Lepisosteus oculatus: one gene and its partner. The protein of the gene in region 2 purifies or fractionates together with the protein of the main gene of each other region. This does not show direct contact. Links are inferred from orthologs where the notes say so. Each region holds a gene or a part of one and is shown on either strand. Other genes may lie near its edges. The genes, in order: ifi30a and dapk1.

The links.
Region 1: the proteins of dapk1 (region 2) and ifi30a purify together in Homo sapiens (affinity purification with mass spectrometry; 3 studies listed by BioGRID and IntAct, counting the BioPlex papers as one, with this or other methods). This does not show direct contact. The link is inferred for Lepisosteus oculatus from reciprocal best matches to the Homo sapiens genes DAPK1 and IFI30.

What each region holds. Positions count from the first base shown.
Region 1 is NC_090724.1:3,634,543-3,642,646, reverse strand, and holds the start of ifi30a (gamma-interferon-inducible lysosomal thiol reductase), read right to left. Parts: upstream 3,113-8,104; 5' UTR 3,057-3,112; coding exon 2,931-3,056; intron 677-2,930; coding exon 500-676; intron 1-499. UniProt on the Homo sapiens protein: Lysosomal thiol reductase that can reduce protein disulfide bonds. May facilitate the complete unfolding of proteins destined for lysosomal degradation. Plays an important role in antigen processing.
Region 2 is NC_090698.1:22,675,547-22,683,280, reverse strand, and holds the start of dapk1 (death-associated protein kinase 1), read left to right. Parts: upstream 1-4,704; 5' UTR 4,705-4,956; intron 4,957-5,619; 5' UTR 5,620-5,730; coding exon 5,731-5,792; intron 5,793-7,734. UniProt on the Homo sapiens protein: Calcium/calmodulin-dependent serine/threonine kinase involved in multiple cellular signaling pathways that trigger cell survival, apoptosis, and autophagy.

The DNA of each region.
Region 1 (8,104 bases), on a different chromosome or scaffold from region 2:
TGCTGGATCCTCCAGTTCCAGACATGGCACACAATTTACAATACTAAGAAAAACCGTTCCAAGTTTGCTAGTTAAGTCCTTTACTGAAGACTCTGTAAATGAAGGGGCTTAGAAATGTGAGGGATCATCAATGACATCTTCCTGCTTGTCTATAAAGCAGAAAATCTGAATGCTATCACGTGAGATTAGCTATCATAGGATGCTGTTACCGATTTTTTTTTTTTCTCTCATCGAGTTAAATCTTGTGACATTCTTTTCATGCAGATAATCTCAAATTGTGCCTTTCATCAAGCCAAGGATCAAGATAGTTAATAATTCTCATCCTGAGATAACAATGGTCATATAGCAATGATTTATAACACAGAGCCTGAGCATTTCTGATCAACGGCACCTGGACAATAAAAAAAACACTTGACTATTTAGATATACCATCAGGCAATTTTAATAGAAGCAACCAAAAACTCAGGATAACCAAAACGCGTTTTTAAGTCGCGTCTACCTGAGCATTTCCGTAAGGCACCAGCGTCACGTTCATGATGTCGTGAAGCATCGACCAGGTGGGGAAAAGCATCTCCACCAGGAATTCCCGGCATCCGCCACACAGGCTCTCGTAGTACAGGGCCACCTCCACATTGGGGGCAGCTGTGCCAGCGTACTCCAGACACTGCTTTTCCACCTGCGGAGACCAAAAACGGCATTGCATCTTTCACGCCAGGCATGGCTCTTGGGGTTGTATTTTCAGCTTGGTTTCCATGGTCTCCGTCTTGGGTCTGTTACGCTTGGTTCCCAATAAATTAACCTAATCATTTCTACACCTAGAAGTATATTGGATTTCCCCCCCCAGAAGATTTTCAGAGAATCAGTTTCATTAAAGGTACAGTTACCCGTGACACCACAGAGCCTGGTGAGATCGCAGTTAATCGCAGGTAATTGAATAGGTTGACCAACTTTTGAGATTTTATTCTTTAGAACTTCGTCTTAGAGGTCGAAACAGTGGTGCAGTGCTTCGAGTTTCTGCTTCGCCAGTGCTGGGGCCCTGGGTTCAATTCCAGACTTGGGGTGCTATCTGTGTGGAGATTGCATGTTCTTCCTGTAATTTGTGTGGGTTTTTCCTCATAGTCCTAGATCATATTGGTAGATTAATTAGCTTCTGGAAATACCCAAGGTTCGAGTGTCTGTGTCTGCCCTGTGACGGACTGGTGACCTGTCCAGGCTGTACCCTAACTTGTGTACATTGCTTGCCAATATAGGCTCCAGATCCCCTGGAACTCTGAATTGAGCTTTGGTTCAGAAAGAAGTGGTGAGAGAATGGATGGGTGGTGAGAGTCCAATTTAACCCTACTTTATGGACTGTAAAAAGCCAAGTTAAAGAGATCTGGCAAATCTACACTGTGGCCCTTGGTGACTAAAATAGATACTTTATTGATCTCGTGAGTGAAATTGCAGAAAAATAGTTTTACTTGAACAGCAGCTCAAGAAGGGATAACGTTAGCTGCTGAGGCTCAGCAGTAATGTTAGACATGCTTTAGAGGAAACTCCACAGCAATGCCAGATTACTGCAGGTATCTGGATCGTTTATAGCTCTGCTTTCCTGTTAAATACACCCTGAAAGAGAGGCTATGGTAAAAACATGACTTTAAGCGGTTTGGGATATCAGGGAAAAACAGAGCACACTTCTAAATTCTTTCCTTCATGCTGTAAATTCTACATTTCTACAGTTGATTTCTATAGCCTGTAAGTATCACTATGATGTATTTGTAATGCATGACTCTTGTATTCAGTTTGGGACAAAACTCCTGCACACAGGGAGATAAAAGCAAGTCCCACCCACATCGAGAGGAACTGATGCACAATCTGTGCATCTATGATTAATGGATAGCTATACTTTTACAAGTAATGTAATGCAAAATCACCAATAAAAAAAGTTCATCAACATCACGATTATTAGTCATTCGGTATATTCCCTTTACTAGCTCACTATAAAGTATTTAAAAAGAGTAACAAACACGCTATTCATTGTTTTCGTTGCCAAACATGTTTGCAGATGGTTCTATCAAAACCTTTTATCCACAAACAGGAGGTTAAATCTGGGTATAACGATTGTTCTTAATGCGGCAGTTAGAGGATACACTCACATTTAAAAGCAATTCTGAAAAGATGAAACTGTACCCTTTAGTGATGTTTGACGGCCGGGGAGAATATAATCGTATTGCTTTCCGAAAACTTCACAATACCCCAGTTCCGTCACTCGCCGGGACTTCAGTAACTTAGCAGAAGCGAGTGTTATTATTTTGAATAAAGTAACAACCGGCAAGGCAGAAACATTGTTATTCAAAACCAGACTGCCTTCCTAAATTAGAGATTTCAGTTTTGGAATCGATGGAAAAGGTCCCAGAGGGAACGAAGGGGAATTTCAGCGTCACTGCAGTCAGAAAGCCAATTCGATAACTTTAAATAAATCAGAGAGGGATTTTCTTCAGTGTCATTTTTACTGACATTAACGCCCACGCAAACACGTCGGTTTTCAAAGGGAAACTAACACGCTCCAACTGTATCGAGACAGTGGGCTCTATACTGTACTGTTCTCTAACCCTTTTTTCTGAAGGTTATAAAATCTCCACAGAAGATGTCGAATGTCTGTGGAGTGACTGAGAAAAAGCATACAATGCATTCAATAAACCGTGGCGTGTTTCTAGCTAACTTTCGTTTTTTTTTCCTTTAGCAAGAGCAACAGCAATGCGAATACAACCCGTCGCTCTGCACAAACTTATGAATGATAAAATCGTTAAAATATAAAAAAAAAATCATTGCAAAAGCCGGTACAGCAGCAAAAAAAGGGATTTTTTTTGCAACCCTCTGTACAACCGTGCGGCTTATCGTGAGACACCGGTATGAGTGGGATGTAGTCGCCCGTGAAAACTTAAACTTACCCCACACTCCAAGGCGATCTGCCGAGTCTTACACCACTCCGACGGGGGGTACCTGCAGGGCGGTCTGGAGTAACTAATCTCCACCGCGCACAAGGCGAAAACAGCTAGTACCAAATGGTTGTTCATTTTTGCACCCTCTCACGGAAACAAATCAAACGACAATACCTTAGCCCTTATGTAGACGCTTATAAAAGGAGACAACAGTAACACCTCCCCCTTTTTTTAGTAACTCCTCCCTCCATCGCTTCCTGTCTGATAATACCTCGTGACTGTTCTCATGACAGCCCTGTCGTCCTCCTGAAAATCCAGGTTAACGGTTAACTGCGCCGTCAATTTGAAGTACATGCTCAGCTCGGTAAAAATGAGTGTCTATGCAGAAAAAAGGTGCATAAACAAGTGAATGAACTTCAAGCTGGCTATTGTCAGTGAATCTATACTTGTGGGGTGGGGGAGGACACGCAATCACGAGTGAAGCATGTGAAATGAAGACGCGCAAACCTGTTGGACAAGGACTGGAATAACCTTGAGCTGTGCCGAGTTTCGGTCTCTCACGGGACGTTACAATATATAGTGGTACTGATGCTGAAAAGCACCACGGTCCTCAGGTCTAATGGAACTAACCAGAATATTTTAAACACAGAGGTCCAACAAAAATGCAAATACATCAGGAGACATTTTTTAGGTTTAAGTATGATTTAATGTGAAAATGAACGTGAAAAGTTACTGAGCATTAACAATCCTGGCAGTGCAGACGCTCGGTCCCGATCAGCCTCTGGACAGACTGCTGTGGGCTGCCACAGCCGGCTGGTGGAAGATTGCCCGGTTGTGGAAAAGTTGGAAGAAAAAGCTGACCATGGTAAAAATGGTGTAAAAAAGTGGTTTTCATCCATACATTGCACCTTTGAAATACTGGTTATAAGTGGTCTTGCATTGTCCTGCTGCAAAATGGACAGTTATTTTGTCGATGTGGAGGATAATTCTCCTTTGAGGTTCAAGAAAGTTCAATGCAGATGAAAAACACTACTGTGATGTTCCTGGGCTGAAGAGCAGATATTCTTGGATTAGTGAGATGACCTTCCAGGATGTAACCTGTTGCACATGGAGACAGGTTTCTGGGTTCCAGGGTTCACTGGACTGTTCTGCTGATTCTTGAAGAAGAACATGTCATTCTCTGAGCAGCTGCCCTTACAGACCTTTGATCACGCACATAGCAACCAGGCGATCTTGAAGAAACAGACAAGGCATAACCATGAGTTTCACTACTATTCTACTAATACAAAGCCTATATGTTTTTTCCCAACTACTAATTTTGGCAACTTTTCCTGAACTGAAATACCAAAGGCTGAGAACCTTGTTTTTCTGAAATCGCATTACTTGATCTCTTATTTTGTTATCCCAAAGAACATCCATCTATTTATATCCACTTTATCCAATAGAGGGTTATGGGTATTTGCATATTCCAGCAAGCAAATTAAACAAACACACCTATTTAAAATATGAATAACATTATGGAAGGACATATGGAGAAGATGTCAGCATACAACATGGGCCGTTGCATTTTCATTGTGCATAAAATGTGAGAGTTTTGGTCATTTCCTGTCACTAATCGATTTTGTTTTGTTCGCAGATCTTGTAGTCTATTCTGTTCCTGAGAGATTGTGAATGTTATCCAACTGATCACACTGTCTTGCCCCTTGTGAAAACACTGTTGTGAATCCTTCTCTGAGGTAGATTTGGAGGGGATTTTACATGTTCTAAAAAAATTTTCCAGGAAATTGGCTTCTGTTCAGAAACCAAACAGAGCAGTTCCTTGTCAACCAATTTCTTTTGTTTAAGGAGTTTGTTTTAAGCATTATCAATTCAAAAGTGACGTGTTGATGCATAGCTGTTTGTTATTTTTGCTAAAAAGAGCTTTTAGTGTCCAGAAGCATGCAAAGAGCTCCCAAGCTCTAGTATGCATGACAGAAGTGAGTGGATTACAGGTATAGACAGCTGGTATAGACTGATGTCAGTGTTTGATCTGGAGCGTCTTGGAGACACATTAGCTCTTAGATTTAAAAAACAAAACTGATGTGAAATACAAGCTGTATGATTCCGCATGATATCATTTTCTAAGAAAATGAGCCAATGAATCCCAGGCCTGAGGCAGATTGTGCAGGCCATGCCTTTTGAGTCAGCAGTGCTCAACCTAGACCCTAAAGGAGAAAAAGTTGGGAGGCCTGAGGACCTCATGTTTACGTAGCTAGTCTCCAAATCCAAGCATCTTGGTGTAATAAATTCAAGACCAAGAGCTGGCAATAACCTATTCCGCATACTAACGGCACTCAGTGTGCCAAACCAAATCTGCTTCTGGGTATCAACTCTAAATGTTTGTACATTTCAGATTTTCTCCACCCCAGTTTCAGTTAACGTCTGGAGACAACACAGAAAAGGGGGTACACATTGTGAGTACATTTCTTAGCTTATTCCTTTCCATACACAGTATCTACTACAAAGGTTTCAAATCAAAACCATTTTACCAAATAGTGGTCTAAATGCTGTGACTAAGTAGAAGCCAAACTGTATTGCCTGTTTCATTTCATGTTTATTCAGTGAAATTTATTTAAACATCATTCATAGATTCGTTCATAACATTACAACCTCTTTCAGGCATGTCAGCAAAAGAAGTCTACTTGTCAACAGATTCCCTATTTCCTTTGATGTGGTGCTTTGTCCATTCAGAAAATTCCCTGTAAATGAAGATCCAATCACTGTTGCATAAATCATCTGTTTCTAGGGAAATGAACTCCACTGGTGATTAATTTCATTGTACTGTGAAATCAGAAAAACAGCCCACAGTTTATCTACGCCATCTGCTTTTGGTGAAAACCCCCTAAATTCTGTAAGGAAATATGTCATGACAGATTGAGGAAATAGACAACAATTAGAAATTTGTTTACGAATGAATAACGTGTCTTTTGAGTTCTACCAACTAGTTTCTTCTGCTTTATTCAGACTTCAGTTTTGTCCGGCACAATAGTCTTGCTGAGCCTTCATCTAATTAGAAATTCAATATTTGTTTAGCAAAGGCTGATGTAATTTTTTTCTAAGCTTTTTGAATTGAACTTTCAGACTCATTTCAGAATATCAGGATCATGAATTAGGATATTCATTCTCTTTCCTAGTGTCTCCCAGTTAATGGAACAGATACATATGTCTTTGCAAACATGGCAAATGTTACAAATATACAGTGAACAAAATGTCCGTAATAACGTCAGTAAGTTTTAAAGAAAGCTGCAGCCATAATTGACAATTATAAAGCAATAAAATGTTATAGTATATTTTTATCTCATTGTAAAACTAGAAACCAATGCAAAAAGGACAAAATGTGTGATTTTTTTTTTCCCCTCCTTTTTGCATTGTGGGGGAGTGGATAGGACTCAAGTCCAAGGTGCTAAGATTGCAGTTTTAGCCTTATGTCAAGTAACATGGGTAAAATACCCTGTTGTGCAAATAAATTGAAACAGATTAAAAAATGCCTGTGTAATGCCTGAAATGTAACAGTTGATTCAATAAAATAAACTGATCTAAAATATTAAATATTCATTTAACTTTAATGTACAAAGGCTCATCGAATTGTAAGACTTTACTTCCAAGTCCAGCAGTCTCGTGCAAACAGGTCCAACTTAAAGCCCACTCAATACAGGAAGAGCAGGTGAAAGATATGAAAAGGCTGGAAGGTGGATAGTTTGAGAAGTCTGTACAACAATCCAAGCATGTTTTGCAGAATATGAGATCATTTCTGATCTGAAAAACAATAAATCATACTTGATCGTGAAGAATATTACCAGCCGCTGGCAAAAGTGCAAATGTTTCTAAAAAAACCACAAAAATAAGATAACGCAGTGATAAGGCTTGTCAGGTCGGTAAGTGGTAAGTAGGTGTTTGACACTTCTCCTTTTAAATAGAGCTGTTTCCACTACAACGACCAATGTTCGCCTCAACATGAATGGGAGAGGCCAGCAGTACAAAGTGTACTGACTGCACCACGGTTTCAGTGATTGTAAAATAACTGTATTCCAGTTTAATCTGCCATATTTTTTCATACAAAGTCAAGTGGACTTTTTTCAGAATTCCAAAGCACAAAACACAAGGGGAGGCTATGAGGAAGCGTGTTTCTCCACAGAGGGTTGTGGGAATGAGGAACACTACCCAGCCATGTTGTCAAAGCTGGTGCGCTGGCTTCTGTTGGAAGGCTGGGTGAAATGTTGGGATCATCCAGCTGGTAATAAATGAACACTCTAAATGGGACAGCTGTGCCCCTTTTGTAACCTCTCTTATTGCAGAAAAGGACATTCTGCAGACCTCGGTTTTACATCTCATCCCAACGAAGGCTAATTTTTTACAGTCTAGGGTCCCCATCACTGTTCAGGGGGGTTTACCACACAGACTGCAGGGTGAGCGCCCCCTTACTGACCCCTCTTCCAGCAGCTCCTGGAGGCCACCCATCCAGGTACTGGCCAGGCTCACACCTGCTGAGCTTCAGTGGGCAGCCAGCTGTGAGTTGCAGGGTGATACAGCTGCGGCATCGGAGTATCTTGTATTCTGATGGATGGTCTTGTGGTTCCACAAGTAGTGTAGTGGGCACCCACTTCTTATGACTATATCTAATCAAGTGGTACTGTATTATTATATCGTACATGCTTTTCAATTCATTTGCATCTGATAAATGCCTATTCATAAAGAGAAGTAGTTGTATTTACATCAGATCAAGTAGTAGGAATCGCTTCCCTTCAGCAAACAGTGCTCTTTAAACGCAGATTAATTTTGCACACTGTACTTATGCAACATTAAAGGTTTCATGAGTCAGTGCACTGTGACGGTGCTAGATTTATTTCCCCTGCCATCTGCTTCTGCACATTTAGACCCTCTCACTTCTCATTAGGAGTCACCAAGAGACTGAAATAACAGCTTTGATCAGTGCTGATAAAAAAAAAACAAGCACACAAGAAAGACAAGGTTGTTTAGAGGACATTCAGAGCCATATTGATATTGTTACAATCTGGGTAATCCTGTAGGTTATTTAATTTATAATGTTTGCAGTTCTTATCTAATTGCACTCCTGAAAACCTTCCTTCACACAATAGATCTCATCTCATCTGCCAAAAGCAGGAAACACTGATGTTCAAAGGGGT
Region 2 (7,734 bases):
TGTATCTTAAAATATATTGCTGTAAGTCATGAGGTCTTCAAAATAATTAGTATCACATACTGAAGTCACATATGAAGCTTCCTCCCAGTCTGATTCTTCAGTGTGCAGTCTGTATAAAAGGTACTGACATTGCCGCCAGTAGAGGCTAGCTAGGTAACTGGCCCTGGTCTGATCAAGGGCTACTTATTCGCTTAACTGTAAATTAGAAATCCCCAGAGGTAAACAGTAGCTAATTTAACCATGTGCTTCACTTAAGCAGACAGAATATAAGGAAAGTGAGGATTTGAGAATGAGTTGGTAAGAAAGAGAAAAGCAGAGAACAGAAGACAAGAGTAAGCAACCATCCGCCGTTACCAATCAGTTTCTCCTTGAATAACTGAACCCCAGGGTATAAGGAGCTTTGAAGAGACTTCTACAACATTTAGGGAAATGTCTTCTTTTCTTATTTCTTATTTAAATTTCCTTCTGTAAGTTTGTCATACACATTTTGAAACATTGGATTAATGTGATGCATTATTGTTTGTGACTGAAGTTTTATCTCTTTATACTAGCATTGGTTTAGTTCTTGATATATAGACCCCCCACCCCACACCCCCACTGCCTGTCACCCCTTTTATCTACCATGCCCTTTAAAAAATGCTTGATATCCATTATTTTTTAATTATCCCTGTTATTCTCCTCCCTAGCCATTTTGTAGTTATTTCTTTAATATCACAACTAATGCTGTAAGATCTTGCATTTTATTCCTTATGCATGTGATATAAGCATTTATATATGAAATACAAAAGATTAATGAATTACTTGATGTCTTATTGGTTTTGAGATTTTTTAAAAACAAAAAACAACCCTGAGTTTATATGATTCTACCAAATCTGGCCTGTTCTAAAGATTCCTTCCCATAGTTCCCTAGTTGAAATAAATTGTCCTCAACTGAGTCTTACCTGCAATCACAAAACTATCTATTTGAAAAAACAAACAAACATGAATGACTTTTAATTTTCACAAAACTGTGTTTGAGGGTAGAACTGAAAGTTTGAATTGTTATCAAAACCTTACAATTTTATGAGCATTCTTCTTATGTATTGTTTTCGAAGGGTGAAAATGTTTAGTAACATGATTACCTTCTTGATACATTCCACAGTAAACTCAGGTTGAAGTTACTTCCTTATATTAAAGTTACTGATTTCCTTGTATTAACCTTGTCCTGCTTTCTGTTTGTTCATAGAAAAACATTTCTACAAAACGCACATGGCAAAAGAAAAGAACTCAACATTTCTTTAGTTTATACTGTTGCTAATACAGGCTGTAGAATAATTGAGGTAACTGTGATAAAAATACAAAATGCTTTTGATTTTAAAATGTTGTATGAAGTGCATTACTATGCTAAATATCTAAAGCCCTTCTGTTAATTGGAGAATATATTAAAATTCTGATCTGTTTGATCAGATGGGTAAATGATTTACAAAATCCTCCTCTGACCACCTTCTCAAACCCTGATTTAGTGCCCACATACTGTATCTGATTAATGCTGTTTAACTTGTATAAATTAAGCTTCATTTGATTAAGGATTTAATTAAGAATACAAATCACATTAAAATACCCATGTTTTGTGAATTGACTATAACTAAAATAGTCACAGAGACAAAAAAAACCCACTTTGGAATCATCTTTATCAACATTAGCCTTGTGCACAGCTGACATGACAAGAGCAAACAAAGAACTACAGTGTGCCAGCAGAAAAATAAATAGCAAATCAAGAATGCAGGTTATGCTGGGATACAAATTCAGGAAGCAGTTTGACTGGACAGAAATAACAAGAAGAAAATGAACTGAACTAAGAAGAACGACACTAACAACTACAGCCTTTCAGAGTAATGATGTAATGACATGGATATTACATGAGTTTGAACCCCTTTACAAGACGGTGATGTAATATTTACCAGTGTAATCCGGAAATATTACTTTTGACAGCGGTTTAAATTTCCCTGCACATTTCTCATAGACCAGCTCTTCAGCACACAAAATAAAAAAATGTATCATTATCATGTGAGCTTACTGAGAATATTACGAACCCTTCTCACAGTAGTAGTTAAAATATGCACCACATCAGAATGTGGCAAACAGTACTTAATTGGGGGAAAAATCCTTTCTTTCTAAGATCTAAAAATGGGTCACATTTAATTTAATTCTTTTTTATGTTTTTGAATAAAACAACCTTAAGAAAAACCCAATGCCAAATGCCAAGTAAAAAAAAGAGAGAAAAATAGTTTATTCGTAGTTCTTGCATTGTTATGGTATATAGCTTTTGCTTGAAACATTATTTGAGAATATTAGTGAATGTATCAGCTACTGCAAATTTAAATCAATTGATATGTCCTTTTAAACAAGCTTTTTACTGGTGCTTTCTAGCTACCTTTGGTTTCCCATAACTTGTGCATAGCTGGACAACCCTTCCATTTCAGAATTCAAACTAGGGCTAATGGAGACATGCAAAACAACTATTTAGGAAGATTAAAAATGTGAAATTAGAGATACATGATATACAGATTCATAATAAATGTGAATGGCAGAATCCGCAGCATTAAGTAAAACATCAATCATCATCATCCTATAGCCCAGAAAAAAAAAGATTGCAAATGCTTTAAAAAATATTTTTTGAAGTATTTTTAAAAATACTATGCAGAACGACCAAATGAAACGAACGACCATGATCATATGAAATAAAACCCAGTCATACAAATGCTGGATGATATGCTGGTGGCTGGACTGAATTGATGTGTACAGCTTGGATTGGGCAGTCACTTGTTGGGGCCAGCATTTTCCAACCTCAAGATGAAGTCTATGAATGACAGGCCACAATCGGGGGGACCACGAGTCATGCCACCTCATCAATAGCTATTACCTATGAAGTCCAAGTGTGAAGGTCTGGGCAGGACTGTCTAGTTGAACTCCTTTTACAGTGATTGGTGGCAACCTGACCACACATCCCTACATTGATCAAGTCTCACTTGTTGTCCTTCCTACAGTCTCATCCTCACATGGCAACATTCCAACAGCATAGAGCACATTCCCATGATGCTTGTGTTACACAGCTTTCTTGAAAGTTGAGACTACAGACTTCACCCCCATTGAACATGAGCAGTGAGATGAGCTGGGATTACATGTGGTACCTAGAGATTATAGAGCACTGAATGGGCACATACTTGTCTAGGTTCAATGAGAGGAAAGGAACAGAATCCCTCAAGACAGCATCTGCAACCAGTTGCAAAGGATTTGTCACAGATGTACAACTTGTATTGTTTCCAGTTGTAGGCCACACACGACTACTTTGTAAACTAGCCTAGTAGACAGCAGATCTCCTACTGATGACAAATGATAATAAGTACAGTATAATGTATTTAGCTGTGTCATTAAGTTCAAGTAGGTAACTGCATCAGCATGTGTAGGCTGCAAAGGATTTATTACACGCTGAAAAGAAAAGAGACTCAATGTTTATTTTCAGCAGTGGAATAAACCTTTACTAGTTCCTTTACTTTTGTCATGTCTGTTATAAAAAGGTCAGTACACCAGGTATAAAACTGACATCCTCTCTTGTCCTGTGACGCCTGCAATATAAAGTTTTAGTTCTGTTTTCAGAAAAAAAATCTTGTCAGACCTGTTTTAGTTCCTCTCTAACTGTAAGAATTATTTTCTTATCTTCCTTGTTGACTTATTTTTGGACACGTTTTGCAGTTTTGCCTGTTGTTTTGCATGTCTCTTAACTGGAGACTAAAAAAAGGATTCTGTTTGCATTACTTTATTTTCCGAGAGAACTGGTTTTTACTTTCTATTCTTCCTTGCCTATAGTATTGGTATTTATATTTTGTCTTTTCCCTGCAGATTCAAAAGTAGGAAAAGGACTTTTGAGTTTAAAAAAATCAAAGCCACTTATCATACTAATTTGTTGTAGGTTATTTTGATGAAGATATTATTAGCAATTTCTGGTGGTCAGCTTTGGAAGTTAATATGCCTGGACAGTTCTTGCCTCTTCATTTAATTTGAGTTTCAGTTCTGGAAATATCAGAGATTTTATTTTGTTTATAAAAATTCATAAGTAACTGATAAGTAATAAGATCTTAAAAGAAATTGTAGAAAACTTTAATTATAATGTAACAGTATGTCAAATCAGCAATATGCTGTAACACACATCAGGGAACTCAGTCAACACAAAAATTCAATAACAACAAAAAACATGTTTTTCAGGTTTGGTTTTGCTGAGGATACGTCACACACGAATGACTTACATAAACTGGTCGGTATGTCTTTCTCCTTTTTTAACCTGTTAATGCAGTGCCTAAAGGAAACTAGGAACAAAATCACCGACCTTTACAAAAACCTCCAGCATTTCTAAGAGGAACTGTGTTAATCTCATTATTCACACAAAATATGAATGTTGAAATATAGAATGTAACAAGTTAATGAATACGGAAATTCAAATTCATATCCAAACTTTTTATTAAAGCCCTCTGTCAAATTTTGAGACCTAAAGTGCGATAAGCCAGTGCATGAAAGGAAAGATGTGTTTATTATATGTCCAGACACCCGAGGGATTCATCTTTCCCTTTCATGCACTGGCTTATCGCACTTTAGGTCTCAAAATTTGACAGAGGGCTTTAATAAAAAGTCAGGGTCGTTTCTTGGCGTTAATACTACAGCTCTCTCATTGGTTAGGCGAGTGTGTATTTCTCCTGGGTTACCGCACTATGCTGCCTCCTTGAGACCGAAACACACCAGTACTGTGTGTAACACATAGAACACACGCAGCGAACGCCACAGTATTAATACAGACATTGTTACAGTCCTCCCATTTCCTGCAACATTCCTTTTTAATGTCTTCTTAGGAAAACGCGCATTTTGCAACCCTTGTTTCCGGGGAACACCAGCTACCTGGAAATTGACGGCAGTTTGGATTCAAAGGTACTTCTTTTTTGTCTTTATCCGGTGCTGGATTTTCAGATGTATTTGTCCGCAGTTCCTGGACATAAAGAGAAGAAATAAGGCCGTAGCCGAGTTCTTCAATTGAAATTGCTGAATGCACGAGGTGTGTACACACAAATGCATATACATTTTCATGACGTTACCGATGTTTCCGATGATTGTGTATGAGGTTTAATCACCTGGTTCCCCCTTGTGTATTCGGGAGATTTTGTAGAGAACGAACAATTCGTTTGTGTTTCGCTAGGGATGTGAGTACCCTGCTCCTCTCCAAGGTCTGCTCTCCAAGCAACCGCAAAGCTTTTAATGAGGAATTTATGTAGCTTCCTGGTCGGGGTTACACGATGTCTTTCCGAAAGGTGGACGTTTGAGACATCGGTACTGGATGGAAAGAGTAAATATAATTCAGAAAAAAAATCTAACAACGGGGGGAGTAGAAGTGTAAAAGGCGATTGAGTCTACCTTCACAGTTTTTAGTGGGCTGCAGAAACTGCTGTTTTAGAAAATAAAACCCGCTTCTAATAGAATGTATTAAGTTGCTCGAGTAGTTCATTAAAAATCACGTCTGTCTTCCGTTTGTACAAATTCCCTGTACCACCTGTGAGAAGAGGTTGAAATATTGTAAACCAATTCTTATTCTCCTAGACCCAGTATGAGTGGGGGTCGGTTTGAAATGTCAAGAGGCTGATAAGAGATGGGCTGCTGAAATCGCTGGGTGCTGATTTGGGAATCCCAGGATCAGAAGTGGCTACCACCATGACCACCTTTAAGCAGGAAAATGTTGAAGATTATTATGAAATCGGAGAAGAGCTTGGAAGGTAAGCAAAAAGAGTGTCGCTTAATTTATTTGCTATTTTATCCTCTGGCAAGTTTAACTGAAGTAATGAAGAACCATTGTGGCATGGCATGTGTTGTTATAAATACATATTTCACCAGTTTAGATAAACCTTAAAGCAGATGAAAATTGTAAGGTATACTCTGAGATGTACTGCATAGAAAATGAAATGTAAATTGATTTTATTTCCGGGGATAAATGCTTTACAAATGGCCTGTTGCATTGCACGGATAGTAGGCAATGACGCTGAACAAAAAGACTGAAAGTAAAGAGACAGTTTGTGTTTAGATATTGATTTGCCTTTTCAGTTCAATTTCCTTTTGAGAAGACTCTGTAAAAGAGGGATTTAATAACTGCCTCACAGGCGCTGCAAGTTCAGTAGTTCCTCTTTTTGAGAAAGCTTGAAGGAAATACTGTATTTTCCCCACTCAGTGACATCTTGATCTTCATTCATTAAATCATCTAAGTATATTAATTGGAAATGAAATAATAGATGAATGTGAATTTACAATCCTTCTGTGTTAAAATCTAGATATATGTGCCATGTATATTCAGGTTCCTGTTTTTACTCCGTATACTATGTACATGCGTTAATAAACATTGAAACATAAGATGGAGTTCGTGACTCTAAAAAACTCCACTGGCCAGCTAGTGCTACTTGTGCATAATGTAAAATGTTGGTTATTCCTTGTTAGATTATCAAAACAGTTGAACTTTCTTTAAATAAATGGATATTAAAAGGACTGGTAATCAAAGGATGAATGTTGCTGTCATAAAGAGGTGTTTAATACATTACCTTCATTTTTTTCTGTTATGGGGAACCATTTGAATGACTGTGGTATACATATGTAAGAGTTGTTTTTTATTCTGGATTTGTGCAAATGAACTTTTTCAGTAGTAAAAAATCTGGGAATGTGCGTACTGAACTTTTATGTTGGTGAAAATAATAGATCCTGCACATTTAATATGTTGTTATTTGTTCAGGAGTATAAGCAGATTTCAAATTGCTTATACTGTTCACTACAGTTTGTTTCACTATATCTGTGCACCAATATGGATGGATTGTTATTAATTTTAGATTGTAAAAATATGTTTCTATGCTGCTTAGTATGTATCAACACTCCCCATAACACTTTTATTGTTAAACAAATTGACTAATCAGTATTATTACAAAATGGTTGCTTTGTGATAATGTGTTTTTGTTTTTTTTTTCCTTTAAAAGGGAAAAACGTAACAACTCCAGCATATTCACCTGCTGTGTTGCATCAGAGGTAGAATGCTAAAGGGAAACAAATCTTATTTATACAACAACCCTTATGAAACCAGTTAAAATTTCAGTGTACTAGGGTAAATACCAATGTTATTTGACAATTTTTATGGGCTCTTCTCATCTACTCCATTGACCACTATGCAAAGGGAACACAGTTTGTCTAAAGCAGTATCAGATTACGGATTGAAAAGAACAGAGCTAAAAGAGGCTATTTGTGTTGAATGCAAGTGCAACAGCTTATAGTTTAACTGTGGGTTCACTTATAAATTTGTGACTGACATATTATTACTTTTCATGTCATGGTTACAGACAGTCCATGTTATTTCACCACCTGTCTTCCCATTCTTTCATTGCTATTTTTAAAATGTGTGTAGGTGTACTGCTTAATGGAGTTTACACTAAAGAAGAGCATCTGCACCAGCTGAAATGTTAATATTCAGTTATTCCAAGAAGAAATCTTTCTTCTTACCTCTCAGTTTTGTTTGGCTTCATTCAGTACCAGCATTTCTAATAAATATTAGAAAGGTTCAGCTATGGGCGATAAAGGTCGTGATAGCAAAGGCATTTTTTTTCAGTCTGCTGGTCCATGGTGGTTCCTATTGAGAAGTATTGGAACTGATTGTTGCTCATCTGGATTTTTGAAAGCTAACGATTC